Linked DNA regions of Mus musculus: regions 1, 2, 3, 5, 6 and 7 are each reported to be linked to region 4. The links are microRNA targets in miRTarBase. Many come from high-throughput screens and were not tested one by one. Region 4 holds a microRNA gene; each other region holds the end of a gene's coding sequence.

Region 1 (4,068 bases), not on the chromosome of region 4:
TGTCAAGTGTAGAATTTGGTGTAATAATACCAATCAGGCAGATTTTTCTCTCCACTCGTCCATTTCCATTGAACTGCCCTTGTTTTTGAGCCCACAGAACCAGTGTTCCTGTCTTAAATCTACAAGGGAGGGAGTAAGTGGACATAGTCGTGTGTGATTAGTATCTTTATAAATTAAACATCTGTGCAGTGAAGATGTAGATCCTGTATCTTTGTATGAAACAGTTAGAACAGAACCTTGAAAGTTGTTCAGGAGCGACCCGTTCCTCTGTATCTCCTCTGGTGGATTGACTCTGGAAACCGTTTCTTCCCTGTTGTAGCAATCAGGCAGGAGCTGAGCAAGTCGAACACTGCATAAAGAAGCAAACTACGGAGGGGCAGGACTTGAATCTGGAGAAAACAAAAATTCCTACAAACAACTCTTAACCCCCAAACTTTTAAGCTGTAAGAAGAAAATGGATACACAGTCAGGAGGGAAGCCGTCAACCTCTGAAAGCCTCAGACAGTGACTCTGGCGATCAGCTGTCCCCTCAGTGTGCTGCTTTATTCTGTCTGACCTTTACCACAGGATGGAGAATGATATTGGAGTTCCCTTAGCAGTACTAAACCCGTCAGGCAAGATCACCGTGCATTGAAATATTTTCATGTCTAGATGAGTCTGCACGTTTTCCATAATCCATTGCTAAAATAAAGACGAGAAAGGCTTCAGAGATTTTTTTCCAGAGGGCGCTGATGAAGAATTTGATTTAGTAAGTTCTGCTGTTGCGTTGTAAATGTTTCTCTCAGGTTTGTCTTCCTATCATATTTGATATTCCGTGAACACTAAGATCATAAAGGATGGAACAAACGGAGTTGTATGTGCTTTCAGAGGGTGGTGTTTAATACGAAAGGTCCCAAAATGTTTAGTCCCACTTGAGGAATTTTAGAATGATAGGAAGTCTCTCGGGTTAGCCTTCATGCAATTTTGTAGTTTAAAACATAAAGTCCGTCCAGAAATTAAAGATTTAGATGCCTTCCTAAATTGTTACAATGCTTTACCAAATCTATGACTTCTACATAACCAACAGTGGTCAAATGGAAAACATTCTATTATAGATTTACTGTAGGTTTTCAACCTTTTTTAGACATATGCATGTGGACATTTTTATAATGTAATTACAATCACCACAAAGTTAGCTTTTTTAATTACAGACAATAATGCATGTCACACTAATATGTAGTGGCCTTTTCAGGGCCTAGTCCCAGGGAAAATATTTTGTAGAATATAGGGAAGTGGGAGGAAGGGAAGGAATAACTTTTTATTTAAAGTTAATTTCTGCACTATCTTTTTTTTCTCAATTATCTGCATGAATTATAATGAAAAATATTTTGTGACTTTAATCAGTAAACATGTTAACAAAACCAAGTACTTAATCTTTTACATCATGTCTTCAGCTATTTGTATTTTAACCAGCAATTTCAACGGTCTGAAACATGATTCTGAGCGTAACATGTGAGTCCGTCTCACTGTGGAACTCACGAGTTTGATCACTGAATTTGGCAGTTATTTTCACGCGGCCCCCACAGTGCTGCAGTGCTTGGGTTCACGCTCCTGACTCTGCGGCTGCTCCTTGACCTTTGCTGTGCTAAAATACAAGAAATATCAATAATGGCAGCAACCAGGGTCACATAAGTCACTAGGTAAGGGAGACCAATGAGGAGTTCTGCAGCTTTCTTTTAATAGAACTAAAGTGAGGCTTAAGTGGTAGGGAGTGTCTGCTGTTACACCCTGAGTGTGTGTGTGTGTGTGTGTGTGTGTGTGCGCGCGCGCGCGCGCACACACACACACACGCACACAGGTGAGAGAGAGAGAGAAAGTGATCGAGCTTAAGAGTGTGTGATAGATATTATGTTCCACCCCTTTATAATTGGCAAGATTAAAATAAGGGAGAAAATTTTATATGTTGTAATGTTAGCTTTTTGGAAAATCTAGGAAATCAAAAATTCTCCAGGCTGTCCATCATGATTTATGCTTGAGTTATTAATGTGCCATATTTGCTTTGGAATCTTTGGCTATCAAAACTTTTGCTAAAAAAATAGTAGATACAATCCACTTTGATTTGCTTTCTAGATTTCCTATGTCTCAGCTGTAAAGCAAAGCTTGATGAGAGTAGTTTTCTAAACCCTGCAGTTTGCAGCTAACCCCACTGCAGAGCCGTGTGAATGAGGGGTTTTGTTAAGAGTGTTTGTTTCTGTAGAAACTTCATCTTTAGATTAAAGTGTGAGGGATGAGCGGTCATAAGTCAATTCTGTGGCTTTCTCTACCCATCAGTCGTCGTCTCGCAGGAATAGTAAAGGCATTAAGGATGCGGCAAGCATGTACGCTGTTCTAAAAGAAGTATGCATCTCATTTACTGTTGAACGTTTGATTACGCAACTACTTTGATTGTGTACGTGTGTACATCCCTTACAGATCTGATCAAAAATCGCTTTTCATTTTGTTGCTAATGTTAAATAGTCTGTAGTACGTAGAGTACTGGGTCTAGATGGTCCAAAGTGAGACAAAAATGCTGAAGTCAAATGCTAAGTCCTAAACAAAGCTGGTTTATGCACTAAACGTTTTGTGCCTTGGTCTAATATTTAACACAATGTCTGTAAAAATGACAAAAAAAGAAAAAAAAAGAACCGACATTGGCTCATGCTGTATCTGTATCCTCCATGATAGTACGTCCTCCCACATGACTAAATGTGCTCCTACCTGGATGCTTCACTGTCACCCAGGACAGTCGTGTCGTCGCTAGAGATTTCAGTGACTACAATCGCAAGCTAAAGCTTGAGTTGTTTTCCCAAAACTGTTCCTTGGAACCATATTGTGACGGTGGGTCCTTGCTTCTGTGTGTTGACTGTCTTCAGCTGAGTCCAGTTTAGGGATCGTCTGTGATGACAGGAAGGCTCTGCTCTCCTCAACACTGTGATCTGACCTGCGACAACTCTACAATACACTCTGAATGGCTAGCACGTCCATAGCAAACAATCTGAATGTACAAACCTTAGCGTGGTGCTGAAATCTCTTGAGAATAGTAACCGTGATCTCAAAGTCTGTTCAAAACGTGTCAATCAGAACTGAAGATGAACCGCTGATGAATGTCCGGTCCTCATGCCGCAGGCGTGTTTCCTGTCTAGGTTTTCAGTTCTCTGCTGTTACCACCATAGCTGTTCCAGTTAACTCTCCTACACACTAACTTCATTTGTGCGATTGAAATAAAATTGCAGTATGTGCATGTTTCTTGTTTGTGACACTTAGATGGTCTTCTGCAATGATGTGTTAATTCCAAACCAAGTGATACTGGGTGTGAAATCAGCACCTTAGGAAGCCCAGGGTTTCACTGTTTACAGTTTAAACATCATGTCACTGTTCTTTAAAGATTTCATCCACGTCTGGCGTAGTGGAAAACACGAAGGGAATATGTAATGATCTTTCTACCTTTTGTTTTGCAGTAAGCGCTGTGTGCCTCTTCTGTCTTACATGCTCCCAGCACAGCTTGTAGTCAATGTGGTGAAAAGTGTTTTACTCCATTCTTTTGTCCTATAACACAGTCATATATATATTTCACTTCATTTACACGGTTCATTTTTTTTCTTTATGTAATTTGCATATTAAAGGATATTGCCAAGTAATTAACTTTAAATGTAGCAGTCTGTACCCTCTACAGTGATCTCTTTATGTTGGCTTTTTATATATACTTATATATATGTCTCAGCACCTTTATCTATTACAAAGTTCCATTTTCCAAACTTGTAATTTCCTCATTAGAAGTACAACTCTGTCTGTGTGTGTGTGTGTGTGTGTGTGTCTGTGTGTCTGTGTGTGTGTGTGTGTGTGTGTGTCTGTGTCTGTGTGTCTCTGTGTGTGTGTGTGTGTGTGTGTGTGTGTGTGTGTGTGTGTGTGTGTGTGTGTGTGTGTGTGTCTTTCCCCCTTTATCAGACCTCGGCATCTCTCCCAAGCTCCTCCGTCCTCTTTGTGCTTCCTGTTCCTGGCATTAATTTGCATTTGCAACCACCTTGTGTTGCTCACTGTTGTGAAGACAGC
Region 2 (4,063 bases), not on the chromosome of region 4:
TCTTTACTGTTGATATTTAAAATATCCATCACATTATAATGGCTATAATACAATTCAATTATTTAACAAGATCTAGACAATAATAACACTAGTAATCTAATTCATAGAACATTTAAAAGCATTTTATACAGTCTACTCACAATATATCTTAAATACAATAAATGCATACTAAATATGCATAGAGAATATGGCTTACACATTAAAGTAGATCTAAATTGTGAGTTATAAAGACCTCACAACTTAGGCTTAAAAGCTTCTTGTCATGTCCCTCTCTGAAATATTGCTTAGCCTTGAGGAACCTGGGGGGAAACACAGGTGCGAGAAGCAACTCATTAGGATGGGTGAACCTTTCTGCACATCACCTAATTGACAGTAACTGTTCATTCCATCTAATTGTCACCTTTCACGAAGTTCGCAATCCCTGAACTGTATGTACAGTGAAAATACTACAACATCTAATTGGGCTTGACCATTCCTGTTAGCTACTTCACACATGCTCAGGCAAAACATGACCAAGAAGCAGGGCCTCTGAGGGTTGCAGTTCATTTCTCTTCAGTAAAATTAAAAAGTCACATCACATAACAGTTTTAGCTGTACAGAAAAGTATGTGTTTCCATATACACCTCTGAGCACGAGTGCACACATCTACAACATACACACACACAGACACACAGACACACAGACACAAACACACACACACACACACACACACACACACACACACACACACATCTTATGCCTCAGCCTGTAATATATCTTTATATTCTAGTGGTAACAACATCCCAGAAGGAAAATTCTGTCTTCTCTTTGAGTGCCCTTCTCCTGCAATGGCTGATGTTCCTTGTTACATTGGCCCTACAGCAAACTGCGACCTATAATATAACCACACACACATGGGTGATACACTAGTGCCTTAAAACTCAGTGGATGGCTGCAGGATGGTCGATGACTTCAGGAGAAGATGGCACTGTAGTTTCCCAGCTGGAGGCCCATAGAGGCGTTCATCCAATCACTGTGCGGCAGGTCTTACGGTCAGCTGTTGCTGGCGCTTCTGAAGACAGATCTGATTCTCATTCTGTTCCCATGCATTTAAAACAAGACAGTCTTACCAGATCAGCATTGCAAGAAAACAGGGTTTTCATCATTTTGTTTTGCCTTTCTTTTACTCTTTTTTTGTTTGTTTGTTTGTTTTTCTTCTTGTTGTCCTTGCTTGTTGACAATTGTGTTGTTGCGTCACTCTGGAGTAACACAGTGCAAGTTGTATATTGAAATCCATTCCATCTTCTATACAAGTTAAAAATGATGAAAACTTGAAAGCATCCAGCTTTCAGCCTTAAAAGATTTCTCTGGCTAAGATGACCAAATCATGGAAGGAAAACCATGGCAAAAACAGTGGCCAGGATCCTAATGATAACTCGTGGGAACTTTGTGGCTCAGTTACTAGACTGAAATTTATGCTTTTCTTCCTTACAGAGGAGTCCACTAAAATGGACTGAGCCAAACATTTTATTTTATTTTTTTAGAAAATCAAGGTCTTTGTGTGTTTTTCATGCTGCTTTCATTTTCCTGAAATAAAAATCAAATGAAAATGAGATCAGAGAAGGGATGGGAAGGTGGGTTGGGTAGATGTTAGTTAGAAGATAGAACATTTCAGTTAGATCACAAAAATAAACTCAAGAGATAAATTCAGAAGATATTGTAAGTAATGATGTATTGTGTTCTGGAAACTTTCTGAGAGTACCTTTTCACCTATCCAACAAAAAGTGATAAATGTGGGAGGGCATACACTTAGTATTTAGTTCAATTTAACCATTCCACGAAGATGACAGGCTTCAAAACATGTCACACGTGAAAATTACAAGTTTGGGTAACTAAAAATAAATAAGGAAAAATAAAGAATATTATTTAGCTACATAAGGGTCAGCTACTGAATGGTTTTTTTTACATAGGACTTATACACTCTGCCAGAAATAAGAGATTGGTAGTGAATAGCAATTGCTTTCTAGCTCTGTTTTAAATGTCTCTGTTTTGCACAGTTTTTAGTTCCAGTACACTTTTTTTTCATACATTGAACAGTCATTTTAGTAAACACACTGGTGACTTGTATTCCCTATATACATGTTGGGTAAATAGTCATAAATATTTATAAAATGTTGACCCAAACTATTTTCTATCCTTTTTGTGGTGATATATAATAAACATTGGGTTGCAAGTGTCCTAAAGGGAGGAATATTGCTTAATTATGCATATTCATATTCAAATTCACGTTAAGTGACCAGGATCACTAGAGTTAATAAATATACAATCTGTGTGGAAAGTATGGAAGTCCTTATAATGGTTGCTAGCAATTAAATACATAAATGGGCATGAGATGCTGAAAAGCCACTTGGTGATTTGCCTTATTTTCAACCTTCATGTATTAAACAGGAATTATAGCCACCATGGGATACCTCGTGTAACATATCTAAGATGCTCACAAGTGAGTCTTTGCACAAATACTGAACAATTGCCTTAAATGCCAAATCACATTTAACTCTTTCAAACCAGCATCTCAAGCGTCTGGCATGGCTCCCTCACCACTTTCCTGTGCCCCTGCTACTAAAGCAACATAATATTCCTTACAGCACTTGCTATTTGTTTGATATGCATTTTTTAATATTTTAGACATGTATACTACATACTCCATCCTCTCTAGTTGTATGTTCATCCTGTTTCCTTCCAAGACAGTGGTTCTGTTTGAATAGACACTAATATTAATATATCCACTCATTAAAACTTCATAATATATAGAAATAGTCTTCGTGTTTCTACAGCATTATTTCTAGGGTTATCAATCTAGCAGATGGAAAGCAAGTCACAGAAGCCATTTTTAAAAGCAAGACTATTTTCATCCACAGACTTATAGCAAACATGATATTTATGTTATTAATGGTTCCTTATGCGCCATAGAAAAAGTAATTCTAAGTCTTCTCCCACTGTAAGAATTTCTTCTGGAATCTTTTTCATAAACCATATAAAATATAGCTTATTGTGCTTAAAGTATTAAAATTGTAATCTCAGGAAATAAAATGTACTTGATGAAAAAAGTACATTAAAAATATTTAATATTTAAATGGAGTCCTTTGTCTCTGAATGTGTTATACAAATAATTCACTTTAGAAATTAGGTTTCTGATATGTTTCTTATGTGTCTTGGTCTTCATGTGTGTACCGAATAACTGAAACTGGGGTTATCCCAAAAGCTGTTTGCCTGCACATGGGATTCTAGTTGGGCTGCCTTGTCTGGCCTCAATGGAAGAGGAAGCACATAGCATCTCAGAGACTTGAAGTGCCAGGGCAGGGACGGGAGGGGCAGGGATTTTCCCAGGGGGGTCCCACACCCACTCAGAGGAGAAATGGAAGGGAGATGGGAGAAGGATTGTGGGAAGGGGGGACCAGGAGGAGGGCAGTGAGCAGGATGTAAAGTAAGTAGAAAATAAAATTAAATAATAAAAAATTTAGGTTTCTTGTCTCAAAGGTTACATTACCTGTTGTGTTTAAAACAACTGAACTCTTAAAGTTTGTTCACACCTATGGACGTGTGTCAGCATGCTTTTCTTCAGTATTTCCTAACTCTTCTGAGTTCTTATGAAGATCAAGTTCACCTAAAAACATCAAATAACAAATAGGTAAGACAAAATTGGCCTTTGGTGGACAGGGGTGCACTAACATTCCCAGGAGGGAGCGGTTTGTAAAGTGCAGAAGACCGGATTTGATAATGGATTTTGTAGTAGTGCGTGTCTCCAAAGATGGAGTATTTTTCTTTCAGCCAGGGGGTTTGCAGAGTACAACAACACATCTTCGCATGATTGTTTAACCTTTGAAGTTGCAGCTTAGTCTGGAAACACGGAGACAAAATATACGAGAGAAGCATTTACTACATCACACTCAGGACTGCGTGATTATCCTGGATGTTTCTTTTACTGAAAGCAAGTTTAAACAAATCCTAATGACCAATGTCTTTAACCATTTACTGATTGGCTGCTGCTATGAATTTAAAACAATTAGAATGAGTATGAGAGACT
Region 3 (4,068 bases), not on the chromosome of region 4:
TCTGTGTGTCTGTGTGTACTATGGAGATGCATATTCTTTCCAAGGTACCTTTCTCACACGAATTTCACAGATCTCAGAGCCAGAGTAGCATTTGTCAGGACAATATGAGTTTCCTTATATGTTGGTTTTAGAACATTTGAGCCAAACGCTGCCACCTCCAGCTGTTCTAGGAAGAGCCTCCTGATACAGTGGTAAAATAGTCCCCCTTCCAACACCTGCAGTAATGTCCTAACTGTGCATTCTGGATCCTCCAAGAGGACGAGCAAGGGAGTGAGCACACAGTAGGCCTCTCAGGGGGCAAGCCTGCTGGACATCTAAGAGGAGGCCTGCCTGAGAACCGTTGGTGCTTCAATTTACCAGAGTTCGTCTGTATCAGCAGTGTTTGTATACTGTTATAGGATATGGGCAAGATGCCCACTCAATGACCAGCTCGGGTATCCCGGAACTCAAGTGGCCTGTGAGATTTGTGCAAGGGAACAGGAAACCTGTTCATATGTGTCCTCCATAAGTCAACAGGCATGTGAGTCCAGAATCCTTTCTTCGAAAGATCGTGTTAATGCTAACCAGGATAAACTTTGAAAATTGGTTTGTGACAAAAAGATTCACAGTAAACCAAGCCAATTTTAGAAGAGGAGATATCATGGTCATGAAGGAAGTTTTCCCAGGGCGAGCCTTACCCATTGCAGTCTGGATGTGCTGACCCCTATGATTTCCCCAAATGCAGGAAACTGCATAATTTGTGATAGTGAGGGACTATGTTCTTGCTCTACCCTGATTAAAAAGAAAAGAAAAGGAAAAAAGCCAGTTTTAATTAGGATAAAACTCTTGAAGTTAATGGTTTGTCTGTTGTGAGTGTTATTAAAACCCCTTTTATCCTCATGAGTATGGCTATTGCTCAGCTGGGTCAGCAATGACCATTCTCGGTTGTCATATTAAAAATATTAAATATGGCCAGGTGGTAGTGGTGCATACCTTTAATCCCAGCACTCAGGAGGCAGAGGCAGTGAGTTTGAGGCCAGCCTGGTCTACAGAGCAAGTTCCAGAACAGCCAGAGCTACACAGGGAGACCTTTTCTTGGAAAAAAAAATAATATGGGGCTGGGTTCATAGCTCAGGGTATGGTGCTGGGCTAGCTTGCACAAGGCTAGCTCGCTCAAGGCTCTGTACTCAGCCCCAAGCATCAAAAACAAAAGCCAAAAGCCTAAATACTGATAATACCATCATGTCTGTTTATTATATTATATAAAAGCAGTATTTTGAAAAAGGTTTAAACATTTTTAAAAAGTGAATTTCACCACAATTTAAGAACCACTGCCTTAAAATAGATCCTTAGGCAAGGAGTCTGTGTGTGTGTGTGTGTGTGTGTGTGTGTGTGTGTGTAGCCAAAAACATGCAGAAAGGGATGCTATTGTGTGGGGTGATCATATATTGCACAGTCTCCATGGTAAACAAAACATTTGTTTCCATTTAGAATCGAATAAAAACTAACAGCGGCTGGTCAGTAGCCAGAGGGCTACTAAGGAGTCATTTGACTCCCCGTGCAGAGACAGAAAAGTTGCTAAGCCTCATAGGAATCCCAGAGCTTTCTCCCTACCTTCTAGGCTATCTCCCTGCTAGCCTAGACCTGGGCACCTACGTGGGCTTTTGCTCACTTCTGGCAGAGTGACCTGCGCAGGCTCCCATCAAAGGACAGAAACAAAAAGCAAGTCTTCCAGCACAGGATAGATGATAGCCTTTAAGAAAGTCAGCCTTCTCTGGCAAATTGCTGGTAGGTGGGCTGAGGGGATGGGGGCGGCAGGAAACAGACATCTCCTGCCTTCAGGATCATAGACAGCTTCAGGACTGGTGTGACCTCCGACCCGCCTCCATCCCCTAGTGCCACTGCTCAGAGTAGGGAGGATGTCATCTGTGTGCACAGCCCTGAGAACTGCATCCACAGGAGTTAAAGAGGCAGTTCTCTGGACTGCAAAGGTCTTATATGAAGAGAAAAGGTGAGGCTCTGTCATTCTGTACATGTTTAAAACTCCAAATTTTGTCCTTTTCTCCTAATAAGCCCCTAGCACACCTTCCCAATCTTCGAGACATCCTACTGTTCTTGAGTCCCCTTCCCTGTGACTTGTAGAGTTTGGGGTCCCTGTTCTGAGTAGAAGCAAGATGGTAAGCATAAGGCTTGCTGGTTCCACTCTCTGTTGGGGAGCAATGCACAGCTTGGCTGGCTTCGTGCGAGCTGGCCATTGGAAAAGAGCATCATCAAATGTCCACAAGAAGTGTCCGCTGCCCTCGGCTGGGTCTTCAGTCGGTACGCACAGACAAGCTCTTCCTCAGTTCTGCCTGTGGTCAGAGGCCACCCCAGCACTTTACATAAACTGTCTCTGTCGCTGCAAGACACACTGCATTCCGCAGACACCTGGTCCAGCTCAGAAGAAAGATGCGCTGCGGTCGATGCATGGTAAAGTGCTCCCTAGAATTCCACAGAATGGGAAGCACTAAAAGCTGCCTTTCCACATACTCCCCAAAGCAAATTGTGCCGCTAAGGACACACATTTTATTGCATTTAATTCCAGGGGGGAAAAATAGCACTTCTTTGCCAGCTAGGCAAGATTCCTAGGGACACACTGAAAAGCCACCTCTCCATACAGGCTCCGAGTGCCCACCCACTTACTCACTTCTGGATGTACACATGCATGCACTTCTGGGTGGATTCACATGGATTCATCCATGAGCACAGATTCACAGGCACGATGACTGGGTCATGGGCATGCGAATGTGCACACACACACACACACACACACACACACACACACTTGCGTGCACAGGAACACTCATAATTATGAGAACATGTGCAATCCCACTTACATACACACAATCCCATGCTTATTTACACACAACATACTCATGTGTATACAATACACATTCATATATACAAACCCACTCATACACTCATGGGTGCAACATTATGCACACAATTATTTGCAAACATATCCATCAGTATGCCCACAGCCACGCTTTAGCTTGTTAGCAGCTAACAAGGAAGAGCAGCAGCCTCTTGTCTATAGTGGCAAGGTCTGTGTACAGTCCTCAGAGGGTTCCAGACTGGCAACTCTGGTGAAACTCCTCCCTTCGGTCACTGCGGAAGGAGTGACAGACCGGAGGTCGCCACGAAACCAGATCGAACCGAGCTGGGCAGGAGCAAGAGAGGTCCACGTCACAGCCACAGAAGGGGAGCTCAGCTGCACACTTCAGAAGAGCATGCCACGGGCTCTGACAGCTCATTTGCATAGCAACTACAGGAGGAGTCCCTTGAAGGTCGCTTCCTCTGTCTACTCTTGATGGCAAAGGCAAGAGAGAGGCTACTTCTCCGCCTCCTGCAGTTCTTTCAGAGTGGCCTGCAAGAGCCATCGAAGCTTCCAGAACACACTGGATGAGGCTGTCCAGGAATTCCCCGAGGAGCCCCCGTGCTGAGCACACTCCTGCACGGCCTGCTGTAGCTGCAGCCGAAGCTGGAGGGAGACAGCCGGGCTCCTGTGTGTTGAGGAGAACCAGTGTCGGAATATTTTATCACAGATGACCTGGAGGAGGTGGGGAGGAGTGAGAGGTTAATTCAGGGGAGCAATTCATTCTTTTTTTTTTTTCTTTTTGATACTTTCTTTATTTACATTTCAAATGTTATTCCCTTTCCTAGTTCTCCCTCCCAGACACCCCCTATCATATCCTCCCTCCCTCTGCTTCTATGAGGGTGTTCCTCCACCCACTCACCCACTCCTACCTCCCCACCCTCAATTCCCCTACACTGGGTCATCTATCAAGCCTTCATAGGACCAAGGACCTTTCCTCCCATTGATGCCTGACAAGGCCATCCTCTGCTACATATGCAGCTGGAGCCATGTATACTCCTTGGTTGATGCTATTAGGATGTGGTGGAGCTGTTAAAAGGTGTGAGTGAGTTAGGTCATTGATGTGTGCCTTGCAAAGGATGGAGGTCTCTTCTCCCTCTTTGCGTCCCTGCCACCAAGAGGAAAGCAGCTCTTCTTTGCCATTCACCCCAGCCAGGATGCTGTGCTCCACCACT
Region 4 (4,068 bases):
CCTGCCCTTCCTCAACAGCCCAGAGTGCAGAAGTTTGACTTGGACCCATGAATGTCCCATGGATATATATATATATATATATATATATATATATATATATATATATAAGCATTTCAAAAAAATTACCCTCTTTTTGAGATTATAATATAATTACATCATTATCCCCTTCCTCCCTCCAAACCCTCCCACAATGCCTTGTGCTCTTTCAAACTCATCGCCTCTTTTATCATTATTTATTGTTACACACATACACACATATTAGGAATGTATGTATGTATGTAGGTAGGTAGGTATATCTCTAAAAACATAAATACAACCTATTCAGTTAGAAACTATATCCATAACATCTAAACATGAGCTGAACAAGGGCAACACTAGACATGCTGAAGTAGGCAGTGGAAAGCCCTCCATCCTACACAAAGACCTACAAAATGCGGAGAACAGGAGAAATTGCTTATCCAATACCAAATGGACAGCCCTGGAAATATACATACAAGGGACATTATACACAGCTTGGCTTTTGCATATCAGAATGGTGTACAGGGGAGCTGGTCTCGAGACAAAGCAATGTTAACTGTAGATTCTGCTCTCTAATTTCTTTTAAGAGTGTATCATTTGTCACAGTGCTCTGCCAACTGCTAACTGCAGTATCGTTTGTTCTGTTGGTCCACTAAGAATGCCTGTTGAAAACACACAAGTGCTGCAAAACAGCGCCAGAAGAAGCCTTCACAACTCTGATTTCTGGGTCAACTGGTATTGGAACATGCTTCCTCGGGTGAGGGTTCTTAAGAAAAAAGATTGCTGGAAAGCGGGCACCAGAGTAGACAGAGACAGGCATGGGATGGGCTCCAGCTTCAGTTTTCTCTTTCAGTCTTGAACAAAGTACCGACCTCTTCTGAGCATCAGTATCTTCATCGAGAAGCCATGGGCAGCATGCATGCTTCTCATCTGATTAGAGAGTTGAGATGGAGATACATAGGGTGCTCCTGTGTGCAGCAGGACTCACTCATGACCTCGTTTCCTCTTCCCTTGTTTTTTACGAAGTCTGCAGAGAAGTGCCAGTGCCCAGATTAGTCAGTGAACGATGATAATGGCATGCTAATATTTATCCAGTGAAGCACTTTGCACAGAACTATTTGTATCATGTTTGTATAATTAGAGGAAACGCTTCTCATCATACATTATGATGTGAACTTTCCTTCCTAGGCTCCCGGTAATTAGATTTGGGTGAGGAAAAATTCCCCGAGTTGTAAAAATATACAAAAACTTTTCTCGAGTTTGCTTTGTGTTTTATATTTGTGACTAGAGTTTGCCATTTCTCTTTTTATTAGGTGCTCACCACAAGTATGTTAATGAGTGGAAGTAGTGGGTGAAAACTGGCGTTTGAGAGCCATGTTAGGTTTAAGCTGACATGAAATTCATATTTGGAGAAACAGAGTAGGATCCGAAGTGACTAGGTAGTATAAATGCTTCAGAAAGCCTCGGTATATTCCTTGAAGAAAATAGACAATTGGATACTTTTTGCTCTGGGCTGTGAAAACCCTTCTGAAGAATGTGGCATCTGGATTCTACTCAGCTGAGTCCACATGGGTATACTACTAGTAGACTTTACTACTATCTGGGGGGTAAGGTGGGGTTTGCAATAGGTGCAAATAAAACTTTATTGAAGTATTAAATGTATATATCACAAGAGAGTGCTTAACAGTGGGGTGGAGCAAAAAAAAAAGAGCTGAGAAATTTTCATGCAGAAAACTGAAGGAATTTAGTGAAATTCTTTATTTTTAACTCCTTCCCATGCTTGAAACAGGGGTCTCTAGTCTAGCCTGGTCTTGAACTCAGTCCTCCTGTCTTAACATCCTGGGTGTTGAGATTACAGGCAGTCACTACCATATTTATCTAAAGTCTACCTTAGGAAGACCCCTCTACTCCTGAAACAGTTTTAAAAATCTCCTTTATATTCTTATTACCTTCTCTTTAGTGTGTGTGTGTGTGTGTGTGTGTGTGTGTGTATGTGTGTGTAGTATATGTGCACACACACACATACGTACCCATGCATGCCATATCTCATCTCTGGAGATAATAGGACAACTCGTAGGAGTCAATTTTCTCCTTTACCCAGTAGTGCCCAGAGACTGATCTCAGGTTGTCAGGCTTGGCAGCAAGCACCCTTACCCTCTGAGCTGCCTTATAGGTGTGCTTTATATTCTTAATACTACTGAAGAGTGCAAGAACCGTATGTTTGGATGGATTGTCTACCAGCATTTATTATAGTGCCAATAAATGTGATTTCATTAAATACAATAAGGACTTTTTAAAGCACAATATTACTAATGCATAACACAATGTCCATTAGCCGCAGTGATGACATCATCTTGTGGCATGCAGCCTCTGGGAAACTCCACTGTACAACTGTGGGGCAAGAGCGAAAATAGCATTTGATGTCATTGTATTAATATATAAAAAGGGCTCCAGAGACTCAGAGGACCTCGGGCATCTCTGAGGACAATTGTAGTGGCTTGTAGTCACTAGAGAGGTCACGCTGATCTGTCCTTCCGTAACCCATCACTCCATTCCAGGATGAATGACATTATTCACAGGGTTAGAAATGAAGAAGGCAGAATTTCACAAGTGGCTCGTGGCCGAGATTTGGTACTGCAGGAGCACAAGAAGAACTACAACAACAGAAGCATTTCATTTGCCATCACTGTGTATCTTTGCATAAGTATTTTTTGCACAAGTTAGGTTAGATCTACATCAAATGAAAAGAGTGGATGTATTTTAGTCAAACTGTGTTAGGAACTTCTGGCCTATAATAGCAGCCAAACATGGGATGTGTGTGCAACCTCCAAACTGGGAAACACTTAAGAGGTGTTTCCTTGAGCTCCTGGCTTGCTTGGCTAGGGCAAATATGACGAGGAGCCTACCAGGTGCTCTGCTCAGAGCTGCAATGGGGAAAACCCCATCCAAACGACAGCAGAGCACACTCAGCTAGTAACAGCTAGCTCTCATTAGCCCCTCACCCGATACAATTAACAGAAAAGAATGAAAGACAGAATAAGCTTAGGAAACAGGTAAAGGGTGGTTTAAGTATGGTCTTAATTCTTTTGAGACAACCATCCCTCCTCTCTCTCTCTCTCTCTCCTCTCCCTTTTTTCCCTTTAATGTGATGTATTTATTTTTATTTCATGTGTATGGCTGTTTTACCTGCATACATGTCTGTGCATCATTTGTGTGCTAGGTGACTGTGGGTGGGAGTCAGTCTCAGTCTATCTAGATTTACAGATGGGCTGAGCTATCATACTGGTGCTAGGAACCAGATTAGTGTCTTCTGTAGGAACAGTGTGTGCTTTTAATTCTGAGCCATCCTGCTAGCCCCACAAGTGCCCCCTTTAAAGCAAACATCTGAGAGTGGCCACAGATCCTTTGAATATTTTCCCTAAATTCACACTGGAGGAGCCACCTTAAAACACAAAGTCTCCTGCCAAGTCTCTCCTCTGGATTGGCCCTGCTGGATTGGTCTAGTCAGTTCCCATCACCATTGGCTAAGACATCTGGCCACTAGGACGCAGAGCACACAAACATTGTCTTTGCAAAAGCTCAGTCAGCGTTGCTGGGACGCACCTTCACCCTGACCACCAGGAGCTTATTTCCCCCATTGATTTGTCTTTCCAGTTTCCTGTGGCTTTAGATCTTTTCTTTTACTCTTTAATGAAAATCCACACGAATGAGACCTTTTGCTTCTAAAATGCTAAGTTGTTGTTATTGTTTTTTGGGGGGTTGCGTGGGGGGATTTTCATTGTTTAGAATTTGTCCTGATGCTCAAGAGATTCACTGTTGGTCACCCAAATGAAAGGCTGTCGCTTCGGTGGTCTAGAACTCGTTTTTTTGTTTTACTTGCCTCTCACACTTGCAGATCTGTGATCTTGAAGCCAGAGAAAGAATTCCACACAGATTCCCAAACATAACATTCTTTCTGACAGGCAAATAATTCCTCAGGTTTTCAGCTGTTGCTGTCTGCCTTGTGTGGCTTTTGCTTTCTGATGTGGTCGAGCTATGCCTTTATGGTAT
Region 5 (4,065 bases), not on the chromosome of region 4:
AGAGGAGTAACCCCTGGCCAAAACAAAGAAAGCAAGCTGTCAGTGAGTTGACCCACTGCAGCCTGTGCAATAGACATCATTATGATCTGAGGATTCCTTTAAAATCTGTCACTTGTTGGAGGGTGGGAGGCCACCTGAGGAGAGAGTGACAGCCCAGCCTTTCCCTTGCAGATTCACCATGAAGAACCGGCTGGGTACATGGTGGGTGGCCATCCTCTGCATGCTGCTTGCCAGCCACCTCTCCACGGTCAAGGCAAGGGGCATAAAGCACAGGTTCAAGTGGAACCGGAAGGTCCTGCCCAGCAGCGGCGGCCAGATCACCGAAGCTCGGGTAGCTGAGAACCGCCCAGGAGCCTTCATCAAGCAAGGCCGGAAGCTGGACATCGACTTTGGAGCAGAGGGCAACAGGTACTACGCGGCTAACTATTGGCAGTTCCCTGATGGGATCTACTACGAAGGCTGCTCTGAAGCCAACGTGACCAAGGAGATGCTGGTGACCAGCTGCGTCAACGCCACCCAGGCGGCCAACCAGGCTGAGTTCTCCCGGGAGAAGCAGGATAGCAAGCTCCACCAGCGAGTCCTGTGGCGGCTGATCAAAGAGATCTGCTCCGCCAAGCACTGCGATTTCTGGCTGGAAAGGGGAGCTGCGCTTCGGGTCGCCGTGGACCAACCGGCGATGGTCTGCCTGCTGGGTTTCGTTTGGTTCATTGTGAAGTAAAAATCAATGAAGCTGGCAGCCACAGAGGTGAGCTGGTGGGCAAAGGTAGACAGAGGTAGCCCAGTTCTCTCTATCTAGCCCCCGAGTGTTCTGAAAGTACAACGTGTAGCGTTTCAGGGCATTTCAAAAGTCCCTCCCAAGTACTCCCCCTACTCCATGTGTTTGATAATGTGTTTCAGTGCCCCTATGCTCCACCCCTGTGAGACCTGGCCTGTTCCTGCCTTTGCAGCTACACTAGGTGAGAAACCAGCCAAAGGATACAAGAATTGTCCTGTGCACTCCACCTGATTTTCCAACTCCAGGAAACTGAGGCTCACATTGCAGGAGTCCCTGTCCAGCACAGTTAGAAAACAGAAGAGCTGGGGTTCCCCTGCTCTGTCTTCCCTCAGGTTTTCTGCTCTGTGTAGCCTAGAGCTGCCTCCTGATCCCTCCAAGACTCAGGTCCAAGTGCAGTCCCGAATGTGGACTGAAATGTGGAAGTCACACCCTGAACTAAGTGGGAAGCCCTGAGCGACAACCGTGCACCTTGACACCTTACGTGAGACAATATAACAAAAATTAAGCTAAAGTAGACATGACACTAGACAACGGCTCAGAAATCAGATTGTAGGGAAATTTGCTATGCACCTCCCGGAGAGCAGCTTCAGGGCAGGATGTGTTTGTGGTGTCTAGATGCGTCTTCACAAGGACTGGTGTTTGCTGGTTGGGCCCCTGCAATGTCTGCAAAGTTAAGAAAACCTTTTTAAGTGACACATTGTGCGTGCGTGTGCATGCCTGTGTGTGTGTGTGTGTGTGTGTGTGTGTGTTTATTTGTTTTCTAGATAGAAATTTTTCTATGTAGCCCAGGTTGACCCCATAATCATGATCTTCTGGCCTCTGCCTCCTGAATGCTGGGATTGCAGACATGCCACCAAGCCCAATATGTGTTTACTTCTGATGTCCCCTGGCCCTATGTGCATGTGTGTTCTTAGGCATCTTAAGATGCTCACTGCGCACAGAGCTCTCTGCAAACACTGTCTGTTTTTAAAACCCACTTTGGTAAAAGCTAATCTCCGTGAATCATTTAACACTCCCAAAATATAATTATTAGCCAAAAAGCCTAAGAGAAATGTCATCTTTAGGAAGACCCAATAAAGAAGTGGTGTCTACCATCATAAGAACTGATATGCCACTTTGTGAACTTAAATATATATTAAAAATATGAATGTTACCTAAATGTTTAAAAATCTTTTAAGATTCTTCCACAGGTTTTCCTCACCTTTCAGGACTCCAGGAGTTGCTGAGCGGGATCTGGAAATAACTGCTACTGGGTGTAGTCTCTTGTAAACGGAGTATCTGCCAGGGGGGTCGGGTATTGTCAAAGGATTCATCTGCAACATTCCAGAACACGAGTGCTGATAGCAGTACTTCGAGTGCTGAGTTCCCAGTGCAATCGGTTCTTCTCAAGGACACCTCTGGCAGGTGTCACATGGTAAAGGGACATGAAGCAGGGCGGAACCTTTACCACTGGACAGACAGCCCAGAGAAACCAGCCTGCTGCAGTACGCCACTGCTGCCAAGACACACCTCCTCAGTCTACTGATCCTAAACCAGAGAGCAGGCCCAGATCACACAGTTTACCCCTTGCACGCCATTTTAAATATCAGACAATAAAGAAGGAATAGTTAGTTCTTAGATGGTGATGTTGGTGTTTCAGCTCCAAGCTTAAGGCTTAGTTACCCGGGTGCACAAAGCTGTAGACAACCAACTTCCTTCCAGCGTGAAAATGTGTAGGCTGGACAGAGTCCCGTGCTCCACGATCGCTGAGTTCTTTCAGACCATTGGTTGTCACACCCACAAGCCTAACTGTGACAGCCAATGAGTGTCCATGTGATTTTGACTGCAAATTTCGCTTATTTGATTTTTAGCGGAGACGTCCTTGCTCTTACTTGTGGATCAGGAGAGGTTTTCTTAGCCCTTCTAAGTGTTCCCAACCCGTGCGCTGTAGAACAGATTGCGCAAACTGACAGCAGAGTAAAAGGGGGCGGGGCTTCACTTCCGGCATCCCACCAGTCCACGCCCGCCGTTTTCACCTCTCCAGACTCGCCACTCCTTTATTCATTTGCAACTGCAAATGTAGCAATTTGCAATCCTAATACAGGGCCAGGGCGGTGGATACCTTAAAGTTTTATTTGACTTCATTTAGTGCTTTCTGTCCATTTTTAATGACTTTTGTTTTTTTGTTTTTGTTTCTCCAGCCCCATCTCCTCCCTCTGCCCTAGTATGAAACTTGTACCCCTTTACTGTGTTTAAATATAAAGAAGAGGGGTTTTGTTTTGTTACATTACAACCCTTAAAATACAACGATCACTTGTATAATATTTGTTTCTCTGCGGTTTGTATTCCTGATTTAGTGGAATGCCATTAAACTCTCTGGGTCAGTATCTAACTAGTTAACATCTAACTAGTCCTTTTAGATGACCATGAAGTATTCCACAGTACAGATGTGCTGCAAGTGACTTGATAACTTCCTTGTTGACAGATCTTCAGATTGTTCTTATCTTGCAAACAATAAACACCCATACATATACAGACAGCCACGGTGTCTGGTGGTTTTATTTCTGCAGAAAAGAGTCACTGCCACAGAATCCCTAAGACAAAGCAGATCTCTAGCTCAAACCTTATCAGGCGCCCCCTGGTTGTGTGATGACATAGCTGGTGACTCTCAGCATTCTCAGCATCCTGAAAATGATCTCTTTGAAGTGCGAGAAGCTGAAGATCACTCCTTCCAACACTGCTTAAGCATCTGCCTTCCTCTGCAGAGGGCGCACAAAAGCTTCCTGAGGACTCTGAAGACCATCCAGATAGCCCGAAACCATCAACATTGTCTAGTCCAGACCTGGTCCTTGGTGTTAAACATGTGGAAGAGAAATCTGAGCACTAAACAGTGGGCCTGTGGGCCTCCTACACAGAGGGCAGGGTCTGCAGGCTCCGTGCCTCCCAGTAAGAGGGGACTCCTGGGGTAAAGTGTGTCCCTGATCTTCTGACAGACTCAATAAAGTTGACCATGCCAGTCCTGCATTCCAGTGAGAATGTTCCAGGTTGCCAGGCTCATTAGGAACAGGATGGAGCCCTGTCGCAGAAGCCATCCTTTCCTCTCAGCTTAGGCAAAACACCAGCTTCTCTCTCAAGACCCTTGTGCCCCACATGACCCAGAAGGCACCTGCCAGCCTCCAGAACACCCACCTGTGAGCTTTGTGAGATGTGCCCTTAGCAATGGTTATGGCACTTCCTATCTCAACTCTCTAACTGCCAGTAACTGGCCTAGGTGGTGGCTCAGTGAATCAGGGACCTCAAGGCCTACTCCA
Region 6 (4,068 bases), not on the chromosome of region 4:
TAACAGGTACACCAGTTGGTGGCAGTCAGGCCAACAGCATTGCTCTTTCCCTGCTGTGCCCCTTCCTGGCATTGACAGGATGCTAGCCTGTGTCCTAGGCAAGCCAGGAGTGTCTGAAAGAAGAGGAGACACAGCCATGGCCCAGGCAGGTATATGGCTCCATTGGGTTGTTAGGGAGCTGATCATTAGAGGCCAGGACTCCATAGCCAGGATCAGGTAAAGATTCAAGCTCTTGCCTGAATCTAACTCTTCCAGCTAACAGGTCTGCAGCCTGTCTAATCCGTCCCAGAGAGGGGCAATGAAGACCTGTGGCCTAGGGACTGCCTCTGGGCTCCCTTTAACTATGTCCTCTCCAAAGGGACCCAGGTGATGTGAGCATAAGGTGCTGTGCTGGCTAGTTTTAAGTCACCTTGACACAAGCTAGAGTTATCTGATAGGAGGGAAGCTCAGCTGAGAAAATGTCTTCATAAGATCCGACTGCAGGATGTTTTCCCATTAGTGATTGATAGGGAAAGGCTCTGCCCTTTGTGGGTGGTCCCATCTCTGGCCTGGTGGTTGTGGGTTCTATAAGAAAACAGGCTGAGCAAGCCATGAGGAGCAAGCCAGTAAGCAACACCCCTCCATGGCCTCTGCGTCAGCTTTGGCCTCTGGGTCCCTGCCCTGCTTGAATTTCTGCCCTTGTTGCTTTTAAAGATTTATTTATTTATTTTATGTATATGAGTCCTCTATCTGTATGTATACCTGTATGCCAGAAAAGGGCATCAGATCCCAGGATAGACAGTTGTGAGCCACCATGTGGTTGCTGGGAATTGAACTCAAGACCTCTTTGTTGAGTAGACAGCACTCTTAACCGCTGAGCTATCTTTTCCTCTGCCCTCTGCTTTTAGTGATGAACCCTGTCTATGGAAGGTCGAGTAAAAAAATTAACTTTCTTCCCCACATTGCTTTTAGTCGTAGTGTTTCATCACAGCCATAGTAACCCGAAGTCAGGAGCCAACCAGGAACTGGGATGTAGTAAAGATTCAGGTGTGCTTGCTGAGGGGAATCCGGACCACCGTAGAGAACAGGTTGTGGGCATGCTGACTGCTAAGCAGGACCTCTCAATTCAATACAATACCCCAAAGACCACTGGCCTCACACACTGTTGCCCACTAGTTCCTGCGGACCTGGTTTCAAACTGATGCTCCAGTAGCTCCTGGGCTATGCTGGGCTATGCTGGGCTATGCTGGCATCTGGGCTGAGAATTCTGAGTTCACTGAGTTCTGCATTGAGTGGAGGACTGAACACAGGGAGGCTTGAGCCAACCCTTGTCTTCAAAACTTCAGAAACAGACACCAGCCTCAGCACCAATCATCCCTTATATCTTGGGACCAGATTGATTCAGAGCCTGGGACCCAAGGGAGAACAGAAAGCACTACATATGGTCTTGTTCTCGTGACCCCCACACGGGGTCCTCAGAAGTGATATAGATGACAGGGCTGGAAGTTGAAAAGTCCTGGCAGGCAGGGCCCCTCCAGCAGTTCTCAGAGAAGTACTCATACAGTTTTCTAAAGCCTGGCTCTACAGGGAAGCCTACACTGTGTGCCAGGGTGGCAAGCCAGCAAGCAGAGTTAGAGTAGGCCCCAGCAGGCCTAGAGTGTGTTGGGCAGTGGGCAGACTATGAATAACCCACCTCTAGGATACAGTAGGCTAAGACACCACCTTAGCCAGTGTCTTCTTCAGAGCAGGCAGGAAAACCACTACAGCCACTGGAGCGCAGAGACCCCTGCCTATCCTGGGCCGTGCCTACCATCTGGGTATCAGCATTATCGAGGAAGGGAAAACATACAAGTGAGGGAGATGAGAAAAGTCAAAAGAAGGGGGCTGGTGTTGGAGAGACAGCTCGGTCGTGTAGAGCACATAAGTTTATTTTCCGGTGCCCATGTTGGACAACTCACGCCCTCTGTAACCCCAGCTCTAGGAGGATCTGATGTCTATAGCCTCTGTGGGTCCTTTATTCAAGTGCACATACCCACACACAAATACACAACCTACGCATCATTAGAAATAAATCTTAAGGAAAAAAGGAAGAAAGGAAGCACAGGGCTAAGGAAAGATCTAGGACGCAGTGGTCATCTCCTCCCCACAGCCTAGGCCAGGCCCTCATGCAGGATTCAGTCACTGCCTGGGCGATGCAGCCCTGCAAGCAGCGGTAACCCCCCACGGCGGCACCGCACCCACCCCACTCCACCCATCCCGCTCATCCACAAGCTGACGAGTCCTAACAGGGCCTCCTTTGCCAGTGACAAAAATAACTATTTTCAAAATTCACAGCAGGGCCTTCGCCTACACACACTGCGCCGACTGGGACCTGAAGGGAGATATGCAGAACGCAGTGTGCGGAGAGAGCAGCGCTATGCAGCTAGCAGGCTCTACAACCACCCCCCTCCTCAACACTACCAAGCCTGTGTCCCCCCCACCCCAGATGCAAATGTGCACAGGGGTGCCTGTAACCACCAAAAGTAAGGACTCTTGAATCATCCATTGTGTGTAGAGAAACACTTAGGCCCAGAGAGGGTCAGGGGTTTGCCTGCAGCTACATGGTAAGCCTGTGGCAGGACCTTCCTTCCTTCCTTCCTTCCTTCCTTCCTTCCTTCCTTCCTTCCTTTCTTCCTTTCAACCTTCCTTCTTTCCTTCCTTCATTCCTTCCTTCCTTCCCACCTACCTTCTGTCCCCTCTGCTAGCATCGAGCTCACACAGGTCTCCAAGACACACACACACACACACACACACACACACACACACACACACACACACACACACACTCAAACACACACAGACCAGCATCTCTTGCCTCTGGATAATGGCACTTTAATCAAGTTCACAGGCTCCTCCACAACCATCAGCCTGGCCAGTTTTCTACAGCACCAGCAACGTGAGGTAGGCAGAGCCAAGGCTCATATTTCCCTACTCCTTTGCAAGTAGGGAAATCAAGGCCCTGTGGGGAAGAACTGTGTTCAAGACCAAATCAAAGGCTCCTTTCACAGCTGCTTCCCCCACCCTCACTATACAGTGGCTCAGGCTCAGCCAGTTCCCCCTCCCCCCAGATGTTGGGGACCAAAAGAGAAGAATTCCACTAGGCTCCCAAGTCATGAGGCTCCAGGAACGTAAAGATTTCTCAGAGCCTACCCTGTCCGTTCTCTCATTGAGTTGTTCAACAGAGCAGCAGCCAGCTGGCCATACTCCAGCTGATATCCAAGAGCACCACAGAGAGCTGGAAAGAGGGTCATGGACTCAAGTTGTCTGGAAGGTGACAAGGTCAGCAAGAAACCCTGCCATGGCCCCAGACACATGTGTACACTGGAGTCCTAAAGTCACCAGAGCTCATCTTAGGGGTGAGATTGAGGCAGAATGCTGCTATAGGTAACCTGAGGGCAAAAAGGAAACTCATCAGGAAAGAGGCAGGATTGTGACCCAGGCAACCCAGCCTGGTTGCTGCCCTTCCCCAAGTCCCACCCTATTCAGCTGAGGGCTTCTGTGCCCTCCCTCCACGTGCCTACAGATGAAGACTTGACCTTGCCTCCTCCCTGAGAACCAGCAAAGGGAGAGTGTCTGAGGGGAACTGAGATTCCCTGCCACCCTAAGCCATCAGATCCGGTGGGACATCAGCCTGGTATTGAGTTTACGGAAAAAAGATCGAAGCTTGCAAATCTTGCATTTCTTCTTGCGGCGACCCCGGGAGAAACTTCTAGCTCTGCCTTCCTCCTCTTCCTCCTCCTCCTCTTCCTCCTCCTCACTGGCCCAGGGCCCCCAAGCACCCCCATTAAAGTCAGGATGGGCCCGAGGGTTCGCAGCTGGGTAACGCACGGGGATGGCAGTACGGTTATAATCAGCCAGGCGAGCCAGAAGGGTGCGGACTACATCGGGTCGCTGGCCAGCCAGGTCCTCTCGTTCGTAAGGGTCAGCACTGATGTTAAAGAGCCACACAGCCTGGCGGATGCTGGCCATCCGCTCCAGGTTCCACCAGCTGCCAGGGAAGGAGGCCAGTGTCTGAGGTGGAATCCAGTCACCATAGCCTGGGTCTCCAGT
Region 7 (4,068 bases), not on the chromosome of region 4:
ACCTCAGGAGGTGCCACTGACAAGCCTAACTCAGCACGATTCCACTCAAGTTCACTTGAGGAGTGAATGAGTTTTGGGGCTTCCTTACAGAAGTATTAGGTGAAATATTACCTACAGTGATGTGGGTGTCCTCCACCTAACCAGCTGCATCTGCAGGAATGAGGGCCCCTCCCCTAGTCATCGCAGGCCCAACTACTCTGCCGCACCACACAATTAAGGCACTGTCATACAACGGGTGGCAAGGTGCATCTGCATCCTCAGGTCTCGCTGCCTTCCCACCCTTGTGGCAGGAAGCGAAAGGTCAACAAGCCCAGCTGTGCTACTTCTTTCGGAAGAGGCTCAGCTGAACTCTCTAAAATGAGTTGCCGGTCTCCTGGAATAATCAATCACACCACCGTTGCTCACTCTGCAACTAACTCTTGCTGGCCTACAACTCACAGTATCGCCTAGGCTAACCTTGAACTCATGGCAGTCCCATCTTAAGAGTCTAAAGTACTAAAATTATGGCTTTTTTTTTTAATTTCTACTAGTATTTATGTGTTGTGTGAGTGCAGGTGCCCAGAGGAAGCAGACTGTGAGCTACCTGATGTGGATGCTGTCAACAGAACTTGATCTCTCTGCTGGTGGAGCAAGGGCTATGGTCCACACAGCCACCTCCAGTCCCTGGGTATGGCTTTGAATTGTAGTTTATAAGAACCAGAAGACAGAAATGTGAAGATTCCCTGAGCAGTGAAATAGCTAAGTGCTTACAGGTAGAAAGTACTAAACTGTATACCATGTAATTATGGGTGTGGGGAAGCAAGGAATGTAGGTCGGTGAGCACACCTTCATAGCAGAAGCCAAGGACCAGCCCTCCGCAGCGAGAAGAAATGTTGTTTAAAAAGTAGTATGTGGGCTGGAGAGATGGCTCAGCAGTTGAGATCACTGACTGCTCTTCCATTCCGAACATCCTGAGTTCAAATCCCAGCAACCACATGGTGGCTCACAACCATCCATAATGAGATCTGACACCGTTTTCTGGTGTGTCTGAAGACAGCTACAGTGTACTTAAATTTAATAATAAATAAATTTTTAAAAAAAGTATTATGTATGTGGGAGCACATGCCTTTAATCCCAGCGATTAGGAGGCAGAAGCAGTTAGATCTGAGTTTGAGGCCAGCCTGGGCTACAGGACAGCCAGCAGTACAGAGAAACCTTGTGTCAGAGAGAGAACACACACACAAAGAATGAGCATTATGTAGACACTTAGTAGATAGTGAAGAGCTGAGTGCAGCTAACAGCCTAGCCTGTCTACACTACTAAAGCCAGACATGAAGGCGAACAGACAATGGAGTCAAGACCCAAGCTGCAACGAGCCTCAAGGAAGATGCCAAGCCCTCCACTCCCCAGACCACCAAGCACACAGGCTGCAAAACACACAGCACTAGCCAACTCTTCTCACAAGATAGCTCAGACGTGTGTGATGGTTTGTATATGCTTGGGCCAGGGAGTGGCACTGTGAGGAGGTGTGGCCTTGTTGAAGTAGGTGTGTCACTGTGGGTATGGGATTTAATGCCCTAGTCCTAGTTGTCTGGAACAAGTATTAAGCTAGCAGCCTTCAGATGAAGATGTAGAACTCTTAGCTCTGCCTGCACCATGTCTGCTTGGAGGCTGCCATGCTTCCCACCTTGATGATAATGGACTAAACTTCTGAACCTGTAAGCCAGTCCCAATTAAATGTTGTCCTTTATAAGAGTCCCCTTGGTCAGGGTGTCTGTTCACAGCAGAAAAACCCTAAGACAACTGGTCTGGGTGCATGTATGTGTAAGACCCTGGTTTTCATCCTCAATACGAAAAAGAAAATTCTCTGTTTTCCAAGGAGACTTCACTAATTTCTTCCCAAAATGTTTAGCTGTTAAAATCATCTTACTATGTCTGGTTCTAACTTAAAAATGTTCCTACTTCAACCTCCAAATGCTGAAATTACAGAAAGTGTATCACCATGCCCAGATAGCACGCAATTTCTCTGAAGTGTATAGGCTTGTTCAAAGCATGAGAAACATCTTAACCAATGCCTGTTTCTAACCATCCCACTCCCTTTAGGAGCAGGCGGCTAAAATTCAACACAGTAGTCACGGAAGCATGGCTGAGTCTTTATTGAAACCTGCATTGGTGTGAGCAGGGAGGCCCCAGGTGAGCTAGGCTGTACTTTCATTTTCACAATGGATATTTTTTTCCCCCCAAACTCCTTTGTAACCTAAGAGGCTTATTTGTCAACATACCTTCTACATTCTAGCTACTTTCCAAGCCTGGCATCCCATCAGTATCTATGGATGCAATTTCATTCCATTTTCAGTTAGCAGTTAAAAGAACCTTGAACCGGGAAGTGGTGGTGCAAACTCTCTGCTCTCAAATGTTGGAGGCAAGCAGATAGATCTCTGAGTCCGAAGCCAGCCTGAGCAATATAGTGATTTCCAGGACAGCCAGGGGCACACAGTAAAATAAAGATGAGACAGACCTTGAAGTTTCCTAGTGACTTGCCACCAAGGCTGGCCTGGAACTCAGGGACTTGTCTGTCTCATATAAAAGCTTTTTAAATCAATAAAATTTTCTTTGTTCAAAAAGGTATTCATAGACAGAATGAAATTCAGGGCTCTGCATCAGTCTTATTACACAGGAGTATAAAAACCTTGAGAGGAATTCCACTAAAAAATATTGTGACCAAGAAAATATTGCTCGCCTTTAAATAAATATGTGGCAAAAAATTAAATATACTTAAAGGGCCATTTTCACAAACACGCAAGTTTACATGTAAGGATCCAAGGGAAGTCAACGTCCACAGTCCTCGAGCACACCTGCTACAGAGCAAGGCTGGCTGTTCAGTGTAAAAACAGCTTTCCTGAGCCAGACAGTGGTGGTGCACACCTTTAATCCCAGTGCTCGGGAGGCAGAGACAGGCGGATTTCTGAGTTTGAGGCCAGCTGGTCTACAGCCAGAGCTAAACAGAGAAACCCTGTCTCAAGAAACCAAAAAAAAAAAAAAAAAAAACAGCTCTCCTGGCTGAGTCCGTGTTGTGCAGGCTGTGGAATGCTCGACAGACCCCCAGGCCTGCTTCAGTCGGCCTGAGCTGCAGCTAGGTCTCTGGGGACTCCTGCACAAGGACCTTGTGTGCTTCTCCGACTCCTCTCTTCCCGCCTGACTCCTCTGCAGCCCTTGGTGTCCCTCAGTGAAGCCCAAATGTTCAGCTTTGCCTGCTTGGCTCTCCCCACGCACCCCACAACACAAATAGACTTCTAGTCAAAGGAAACCATTACACCCCTGTAAGCAGGAGACAGTTCAAAGTATTCACAGGCAGTGCTGATCCTGGAGGACAGCTTACCAAAACAAAGTCAAAACTGTGGTTCTAATAAAAAGAAACCTGTCAGAAGGCCACTTGCCAGGTTGTGGCTGATACAGCATGCAGCCAGCAGGCCACAGGCAAGACTGTGAAATACTGTGAAATGTCCACTGTGAAATACTGCCTATGACACTCAGTTTTTCCCTATGTCAACAGGGAGCAAACTGCAAGCACACACAACCTGGTTCCCTTCAGATGCTGGTCGAAGTCCAACATGGAAGCTGGACACATGAGGCATAGACTAGTCCAGTGTGGGGTCGGGGTGGAACACAGGGTCACAGGGCCCTGGGAAGAATTGCGCAGCTCAATCATAGATCCTTGTGAGGAGTGGAGACTGGCCTGGTATATACAGCACAGGAGGGGAGCCCACACTACTGGAAGGACTTTGGAAGTGGGTATCAAAGGAGCTCGGAGTAAGGCCAGTCACTGTGTCACTCTGGGGCACCTCGCCTTTCAAAAAGTCATCATCTTCATCCTCCACTACCTCCTGTGGAGAGAACAAAGTGAGAATATCATAGTGTTGGTCTGGAAAGTTTTCATGGGATGGAGAGAGCGTGCTTGCCACCAAGCCTGGCAACCTGAGCTTGGACCAATATGTGAAAGGAATGAACCAAACCCCCTAGATATAAGTCTGTGTGTGCCTGAGGATCCCAAAACAAGAGCAGACTCTACAGTGAACATTTGAGGGATCT

The links. Region 4 holds the annotated microRNA mmu-miR-466q (GUGCACACACACACAUACGU, at 2,027-2,046, shown strand). A microRNA usually pairs through its seed, bases 2 to 8, with sites in the 3' UTR of a target mRNA and lowers its output. Matches are read on the target gene's strand: a 7mer-m8 pairs with bases 2 to 8, a 7mer-A1 pairs with bases 2 to 7 and ends in A, and an 8mer does both.
Region 1: the mRNA of Enah is a reported target of mmu-miR-466q. The part of its 3' UTR that is shown has no 7-base or 8-base seed match.
Region 2: miRTarBase lists Pde1a as a target of mmu-miR-466q. Seed matches in the 3' UTR shown: 7mer-m8 at 637-643.
Region 3: the mRNA of Dipk1c is a reported target of mmu-miR-466q. Seed matches in the 3' UTR shown: 7mer-m8 at 3,231-3,237, 7mer-m8 at 2,957-2,963 and 7mer-m8 at 2,767-2,773.
Region 5: miRTarBase lists Prnd as a target of mmu-miR-466q. Seed matches in the 3' UTR shown: 7mer-m8 at 1,483-1,489.
Region 6: the mRNA of Arsi is a reported target of mmu-miR-466q. The part of its 3' UTR that is shown has no 7-base or 8-base seed match.
Region 7: the mRNA of Rrn3 is a reported target of mmu-miR-466q. Seed matches in the 3' UTR shown: 7mer-m8 at 2,898-2,904.

The regions. Positions count from the first base shown.
Region 1 is chr1:181,902,149-181,906,216 of GRCm38, reverse strand. Enah (ENAH actin regulator) reads left to right here. Exons shown (of 15, transcript NM_010135.3): 15 at 320-4,068. The coding sequence ends at 357. Among named protein-coding and RNA genes, the nearest start is that of Gm33669, 26 kb to the right of the region's middle.
Region 2 is chr2:79,835,359-79,839,421 of GRCm38, forward strand. Pde1a (phosphodiesterase 1A, calmodulin-dependent) reads right to left here. Exons shown (of 16, transcript NM_001159582.1): 15 at 3,527-3,643; 16 at 1-1,566. The coding sequence ends at 3,570. Among named protein-coding and RNA genes, the nearest start is that of Ppp1r1c, 130 kb to the left of the region's middle.
Region 3 is chr18:84,738,869-84,742,936 of GRCm38, reverse strand. Dipk1c (divergent protein kinase domain 1C) reads right to left here. Exons shown (of 5, transcript NM_173770.5): 5 at 2,501-3,568. The coding sequence ends at 3,350. It also overlaps the pseudogene Gm25005. Among named protein-coding and RNA genes, the nearest start is that of Gm38576, 3.2 kb to the left of the region's middle.
Region 4 is chr3:28,417,962-28,422,029 of GRCm38, forward strand. Mir466q (microRNA 466q) reads left to right here and starts at 1,982; the gene lies at 1,982-2,057. All of the region lies in intron 2 of Tnik (TRAF2 and NCK interacting kinase), which reads left to right.
Region 5 is chr2:131,952,838-131,956,902 of GRCm38, forward strand. It overlaps Prnd (prion like protein doppel), which reads left to right. Exons shown (of 2, transcript NM_023043.3): 2 at 172-3,294. The coding sequence starts at 179. The coding sequence ends at 718. It overlaps Prn (prion protein readthrough transcript), which reads left to right. Exons shown (of 5, transcript NM_001278259.1): 4 at 172-745; 5 at 1,984-3,294. The coding sequence ends at 718. Among named protein-coding and RNA genes, the nearest start is that of Prnd, 4.0 kb to the left of the region's middle.
Region 6 is chr18:60,917,328-60,921,395 of GRCm38, reverse strand. Arsi (arylsulfatase i) reads right to left here. Exons shown (of 2, transcript NM_001038499.2): 2 at 2,835-4,068. The coding sequence ends at 3,628. Among named protein-coding and RNA genes, the nearest start is that of Camk2a, 6.3 kb to the left of the region's middle.
Region 7 is chr16:13,812,885-13,816,952 of GRCm38, reverse strand. Rrn3 (RRN3 RNA polymerase I transcription factor homolog (yeast)) reads right to left here. Exons shown (of 18, transcript NM_001039521.1): 18 at 2,112-3,863. The coding sequence ends at 3,681. Among named protein-coding and RNA genes, the nearest start is that of Ntan1, 4.3 kb to the left of the region's middle.